2 linked regions of the Oryzias latipes genome follow. The protein of the gene in region 2 purifies or fractionates together with the protein of the main gene of each other region. This does not show direct contact. Links are inferred from orthologs where the notes say so. Each region holds a gene or a part of one and is shown on either strand. Other genes may lie near its edges.

What was found.
Region 1: the proteins of pdhb (region 2) and pdhx purify together in Homo sapiens (affinity purification with mass spectrometry; 4 studies listed by BioGRID and IntAct, counting the BioPlex papers as one, with this or other methods). This does not show direct contact. The link is inferred for Oryzias latipes from reciprocal best matches to the Homo sapiens genes PDHB and PDHX.

What each region holds. Positions count from the first base shown.
Region 1 is NC_019864.2:22,874,921-22,879,322, reverse strand, and holds the start of pdhx (pyruvate dehydrogenase protein X component, mitochondrial), read right to left. Parts: upstream 2,860-4,402; 5' UTR 2,819-2,859; coding exon 2,683-2,818; intron 1-2,682. Other genes in the region: outer dense fiber protein 3, read right to left, coding at 3,430-3,525, 3,623-3,763, 3,851-3,951, 4,032-4,133, 4,216-4,398.
Region 2 is NC_019863.2:1,307,003-1,310,110, reverse strand, and holds part of pdhb (pyruvate dehydrogenase E1 component subunit beta, mitochondrial), read right to left. Parts: intron 2,589-3,108; coding exon 2,526-2,588; intron 2,453-2,525; coding exon 2,417-2,452; intron 693-2,416; coding exon 502-692; intron 398-501; coding exon 303-397; intron 1-302. UniProt on the Homo sapiens protein: The pyruvate dehydrogenase complex catalyzes the overall conversion of pyruvate to acetyl-CoA and CO(2), and thereby links the glycolytic pathway to the tricarboxylic cycle.

The sequences.
Region 1 (4,402 bases), on a different chromosome or scaffold from region 2:
ATGGGGAATTTATAATGTGCTTTTAATAATTTGGTATTACTTTTTCTTCTTTTCATTATTAACTTACTATGTTTCTCCTATTCTTCTATTATGTAAAAATAAAAAGAGTCACAACCAAATCCACAAAGCTTTAAATTCCATTTATGAAGCGCTTAAAATGCTTGTGGTATACCTTCCTTCCCATCTACTGTGAATAAGCAAACGTGCCCTGTTGTAACATTTTTTGACTTTAAAACAGTTTCTAGTTCATGCAGTGGTTACCCTTTTCTGTCAAACATGTTCTGATCAGAAAACACATATTAAAAGAGCTGATGACAAAATAAGTTTAGCTTTCAGGCAAAGAGAAAAACTAGAGCAACTTAGTCATTTATTGTATACTTTCAATAAAGTTAAAAACTAATTTATTATCAGTCGGCAACTTCAAAATATACTGATTCTGTGGAGAGCCCTGCTTAAACAGTGCTCATGTTCTCATATGGTTTTTGAATACATAAACAGTTTATCGTTACATACATGTTAGTTTTTAAGTGATGTCTTTCTTTATATATTTGCAGCTCAAACTTTGGACTTTTGGATTTTTTTTTAAGCCAATTACTCAATGACAGATTCTCCTGGATTTCCTTTAACTCTTCTGGTTTGACGGAAACGCCATTGTTAGTCAACTGAAGGTTACATCAGAGATATTCCGTCTCAATATGATGTCATTGTTTATGTTGGAAATAATACCTGCTCATCCCCGGCTCCAAGCTCTATGAGCAATCCTTTCATTAGTCAGATAAAGTTGGGATCCGTTGCCATGGTCCACCCACATACCAAAGCATGGCAGCATATTAACTATTACAGAATTGCTGGATAAACTACCCGAATAAGAAATGGATTCTGATTTTATGCAGCATACCCCCTCTAGGGCTGCACGATATGAGGAAAACTTGCGATATGCGATATTAGTGATCAATATTGCGATATAATTTGCGGTATATAAACAAATAGCAAAACAACCAAAAACATCATTTCCATTTCACTGCAACAGTTTAAAAATGATACTCCAAATGACCCTCGTCGCCGCAGGAGGCAAACATCAAACATAAAAGGGCTCATCTGATTGATCAACAATGTAAACGGGTCCTTCCGATTGGTTAAATGCATAAAGGGATTTAATTCATCTGTTCAATATTTCAAGCTGCCATGAGATTGTTTTAGCACATTTAAGGTAACCATTTATTGAGATTTCCGCCGTCTTTTGAGGTATGCATATTGCACAGCCTGATGTCGCGATAACGGTACATTTGCGGTATATTGTGCAGGCCTACCCCCCTCCCGTCTTTTGCCTTCTAAAGTCACACGAGAACAGAAGGAAGAGAAACACAAAGTCAAATGAATACATGCTGTTCCTGTAACAGTCTAATGGAAACATCGGGGTAAAGTTATCTAGTTTGATGAAGCTAACCAGTTGTTGGACTGGTTCTACTGTTGTATTCTAGACAACTGCAGTCACTGCCTCATTGTTTTTGTCCAAATAACTTCCAGAAAATCAAACTTTTTTTTTTTACCTTGAATTAAGGAAAAATCTAAATAAATTAAAAGCATTTGCTGTTGATATAGACGATCTTTGATATGTACGTGACTTTTGCTAAGGGAATATACATTTACACTCTTTTTCCATTATTCTGTTCACCACTTATTGCAGAAGCAATTCTGTCAACGATTAAGACTTTATGTTTTCTGGGGTTGGTCAAATTTAGCAATCCATGCGGAAAAAACAGGGACAAATGTTTAATCTCTGTTCTAGGTTGTGTTTTCCATTTCAACACCTGTTATTATAGACAGAATTTAAAAACAAAACTGAAGATGTCATGAAATGTGCTGCTGACCTCTTGTCCAAATCATTCTTGTAAAGGAGATCTTGATCTCAGCAGGTTCTTATCTGGCTAAATAAAATGTAACAGAGACACTTCATGCTTTTTAAGGAAGGCTCAAAATCTACTTTTTGAACTTGGCTTTTAACTATAACTTGAACATTTAAATAATAATAATGAATATTTTGTGTTTTAGCAGTTTGTTCTCATTTCTTATTCATGCTCAGTGCTTTTATTAGGTCATATGTGATTATACTAGTGTAGGTCAATTTTAAATGTATTTATGTATGTATTTGGAATATTTTGTATGTATTCATTCTTTTTACATTTACTTTTAACTCCAGTGTTTTGTTTTTCTCAGGGGGGTCCTTCACTCCATCGAATGTCTCTTCTCTGTAAACAGGGTCATTGCAGATCTGCTCTTTATGCTTTTTTCATTTTATAATATTTCACTATGGTGGGTGTGTAGGAGGTAGGGAGGGTGAGGGCATTCTTTTTTTCTATTATTATATTACATAGTTATTATTATTATTATTTTATTCTGTTTAGCACTTTTGTGTTGGGCTGTGAAAAAATACTTTATAAATAAAGTCTGTATTTGACCCTGCCTTTACAACAGTTTCTAATTCTTCACTTAAAGAAAACACAAAATATGTTTATAGTAAGTTTTCAACAGAGACTTCTGCATCCTTGTTCGTTTTGCAGTATATTCAAATAAATTACAAACTAGAAGAAATTACTAGTAAGTATCCCCCCCAAAGCAGCTACTGTTAGCTTATATGATCCGACACCGAATCTATTCCCGTGTCTTTCGGTTAACACTCACCAAGCGCCCATGGTGAATGAAAAAACTGTCGAACTCGGTCCTGGAAATAATGTGTGGGACATATTGATTTTTTAAATTGGTTGAATCTGAGCCCAAGCAGAGCTCCCTGACGACCCAGGCGCAAGGAGACCGCCATGTTGCTGTCCTCCCTCGTCCAGTCCGTAAATTCTGGCTTTGAGAATGCCTGATGATAAATTATCGTGAAAAAATGTGCACACATTTTGCGTTAAATCTTTTTTGTTGAAAAACTATTAAGATATAAATAGAAATTAAACATCTACTGGTGTGGTTATAAAAATTGAATATCAAGTGATTGGTTAAATAACTCATAATGAGCAGGCAACAAAGATTGTTCTTTAAAGGACCTTTCATTTTGGTTTTTCTTCGGGTGTCTTGGCAGCCGTCAAATCAGATTGCGAGAGCAATATTGCCCCCTATAGGATTGGAATGTGAATCAGTACTTGAACAGACAGAAATGCATCATTTTATTGAAGGTCTCTAAAAATCGTTCATATTATTACAAAACTGTATTTACTGTATCTTGTATGAAAAAGTAAAGCTATGGAAATGAAAGAAAACTGTCTATATCAAAGAGTTTAAACCTCTTTTTTGCTAAAGAGTCAAATTAACACTATGTTTTTTTATTAGATCAAATAAATTGTAACTAATTGCCAAATAATTACATGCTACATGAACAAAAGTACGCCCACATTTAGCCTTTTAAACTTTATTTCTAGCCGCTGTGCTTCATTCTTCGTCAGTTTTCCGGAACACAGGTAAGACGTATTCTGAATGATGCACTCCAAAGGTGAAGCATGGGGCGTTCCTTTTTGTAAGGGATTCCTGGTAAAAGAAAAGTAAGTGAATACACTTCAGATATTTAAAAGCACAATGCTCATATTTGGAACTATTCTGACTAAAATGGTTTCTTTTGTTTTACCCCTTTAGGATGGTACTGTGCTGGACCAGGTGTATTTGTTTTATCCAGGGGCATAAAGTTGCGACCTTGAAAACTGTAGTGGGGGGCTTTCTTCAAATAAGTGTCAGAATTCACAGCTTTGTATGCAGCTGGACCTGGATTCTGTTAAGCAGTTGCATGAGAAATATCAGAAAATCAGGATTTTGTTTGCATTCTCAAAGTAAATCCTTAGTGTATCAATCACCACACCTGATTCGGGTACCCGTATAAGTCTCCACTTTTAGTGCGTCCCTTCAGGGTGTAACTTGGTGCCTTGGGATTTTTCTCAAACAAATTGTAGGCTGCGGGCCCTGAATTATGACAAAGAGCAAGGAAATGTTTGTATTTCTAAAAGTAAAAGTTTCAAATGGTTAGTGGAAGGAAGGCCTGCCTGGGGTAACATCCTTCTTCTTTTCTGGATGTCTCCCAGCCAAAGAAAAGTCACGAACTCTCGGGAAGGTCACGTGTTCTGAGCGTTCTGGGCAGTATGTGCCTAAAACAGCAGCAGGAGTTGTAGAGTCACCTTTTTAGGTTATTTATTAAATATCTGATCTGTTTTATTGTGCAGAGTGTACCTGGTCCTGGGACTTGGAAGGATTTTGGTGGTGGTAACATTTTTCCAAACGTTATCCCCTGTGTATTTTTGCCAGTTGAGATGAAAGACAATTCTGGTCCTGGAGAGCGGGGGCGCTCTTTAACACGGGTACCTATCGTGAAAGCTGGTGCAGTTCTTTTTGTAGATTCCTGCAGAACACAACCTTT
Region 2 (3,108 bases):
GTTTACTCGATTTTGCAATTAAAAATTTAGACAGCACTACAAAATGGCATATGCACTATTTAGTGAACTATTTAGTGAGTATTGCAGGAATTCTGACACAGGTTTTTTGAGTTTGGCTAAAGAAAAAAACAAATCCTAATTAAAGGACGACTGGGGACACTTTGGAAATGGATCAAAAGATGACCGGAGTGGGACTTGAAAGGTGAAACGGACTAAACTGGAGAAAAATGTTCAGTCTGGCCTTAAAGCAGACTGCTGATGTGCTGCTGCTGCTGCTGCTTGAAGCTGTGACAGCGGCTCACCAGGGTTGTCATCTCTGATGGCTGATTTCAGGAGACCTCTAGCATCTTCAGAGTTCCATGGACTGACAACCTTCAGACCCGGACAGTGAGCGTACCTGCAGATAAACACACCGACACTCAGGCACGAGGATTTGAGCCCCCTGATGGCAGAAATGATCAGGATGCAAAGATATTCCTACAAGAAGGCAGAGAAACTCACCAGGCAGCAAAGCACTGCGAGTGCTGTGCCGCCACGCCGGCTGAGGCCCCGTTGGGTCCTCTGAAGACGATGGGGACTGGCTGCTGCCCGGCTGACATGTAGTAGGTCTTTGCCGCAGAGTTGATCACCTGATCGATGGCTTGCATGGAGAAGTTAAAGGTCATGAACTCACAAATGGGTCTCAGACCGGCCTAAGGAGATCAGACACAGACACCAGGCTTAGCTGCAGGAGGAGGGTTGTAATGGTCTGGCTCATTTTATCTCAATGATCTTCCTTTAAAGCATGAGCGGACGCTGAGGTCCTCTGACTGCAGGAGAACCTCAGGCATCATTTAGGAAGAAGCTCAAGACACAGCTTCAGATACTCTTACCTGATTATTTATTCCAATTTTATTATTTTAAGTATTTGATCTAATTTTCTGATGTATTCAAACACGTTTGATGTCTTTGAACTGTTTTTCCCCTGTGGGGCTGCCAGCCTGGTCTGTGGTTGTTGCCGTGGTGATCACCCTCACAGCCTCACAGCTGTGGAGTGGAAACCGACCTGGGTGGGCGTTGTGGCGATGGCTGAGCCAGCAACTGGCACGATTCCCCAAATACTGTTTCCTTACAATCAAAGTTTCCTTCATAATTACAGCCATGCGTGTTTTCATTGTGTGTGGGGTCATGGTGTGTGTGTGTCAGTGGAGGGAGGGAGGGAGGGAGGGGGCATTCTCATGTAAAGCATGAGAATGCCTTTTTATAAATACATTTGCTATTGATTTGATGATAAACAGTGAGCCAAAAGTTTCCGTGTGAATAATGAATTAAATCAGGACAAGAACACCTGAGTCCAGAGCTGCAGGATATGAGGAAAACTCACAATTTGCGATAGTAGTGATCAATACATGAATATATAGCAAAACTATCAAAAATATCATTTCCATTTCACTGCAACAGTTGAATTAAACTAAGAGTCAACATAACTTGACTCCCCAAATGACCCTCGTCTACAAAGGAGGCAAGCATCTACCATTATATAAAGGCCTCCATCTGACTAGTAAATGGATTTGGATTTGTTTAATACTTCAAGCTGCCATAAAACTGTTTTAGCACATTTAAAGGAACCATTTATTGCAACTTTCACAGACTTTTAAAATATGCATATTGCACAACTTGATATTGTACTAACAATAAATTTGTGATTTTTTGTGCAGGCCTACCAGAGACATAAATACTTTATATGTATATAGTGAAAAAGTTCATATTTCGAATCATTACACATAATTAAAGACTACTTTTCTTTTAAATGTTGATGACTTTGGCTCTCACCTGTGATTAATTCAAACCTAGCAAAGATTTCTGAGCCTTTAAATCGTGGCTCATCTACCTTAAAAAGAGCACCGGTTTGTGTTCTTTAATTGTGTCACTACATTTTTGGTCATCGTTACATCCGCAAAAATTCCTAAGGTTGCAGGTTTTGCAGGTTATTTGTGAGATGTTGTGGGTTTTCTAGAGCAACTCGTGGACTGTTTCGTCTGAATTTCAAGCAGAAACTCAGACCAGAAAGTCTCTTTGTTGTCGTGTTTGGAAGGTTTCCGTCTCAATCCAAATGCTCTTATATGTAGTTATTTAGTTATTGTAAGACTGGAATAACCAGGTACATGACATGGAGATGTTCTCGCTCACATTGTGTGCTCACAACACGTCCACACTGGGTCCAGGGAACGGTGGCACTGTGGTGGAGCGACCAGTGCATCAAAACTGCCCCAGGGCAATCACAAAAAACAAAGTTTGGGTTCCTTACTGGTTTTTGTAAAAACTAGAATTGATCAAAGTAAGTTTGAGATGAGGTCATTTTTCTGTGTTCCTGTTTGGTTTACTAGACCCACACTTAACTGACGAAAGATCAACGGCAGTCACAACCCAAACTCACCATGGCTGCTCCCACTGCGATGCCAGCGAAGCCCATCTGCAGCACACAGATACACAAGGTGTGAGGCGAGAACGCACACATGACACACTGACACCATCAGTACACTCACCTCTGAGATAGGCGTGTCAATGATGCGTTTGTCTCCATACTTCTTCCACAAGCCTCTGCTAACCTGACACACACACACACACAGAAGAACATCAGACGCTCACCGTTTCAGCCTTGTGTTTTCCGTATGAGCACAGCATCCAGACTTTCATCTTTAGGAGTCTCCCGCCCAGCAGAAACGGAAACTGAGCTCCAAAAGCTTCGCTCAGCTGACAACCGTCTGCACCGCTCAGACAGTGTGATACGAAACTTTTTATCTGCAGCGTCTTACAGTATTACTTCCAAAGGACTTTCAGTTCCAAACCAGAACACAAAAGGATCACATGTGAAAGCAAATGTCAGGAGCTGGATTTCTAGGATTCACATTGAAAACAACAGATAATATCACACGTTGCTAAACATTTTTTCAAGCTTGTTTAGGAATCGCTGATATATTTTGTATTATCAGAGGTTTGGTAGAGTCCCCAAAAAGTGTACGCTAGTAAGAAAAGCACTGCAGTATATTTTGACTAAAGTAAAATTGGAAGTACCATCCCCATCCAAAAACGTATTTTAATAGGAGTAAAGAGAGATATTTGAGTACT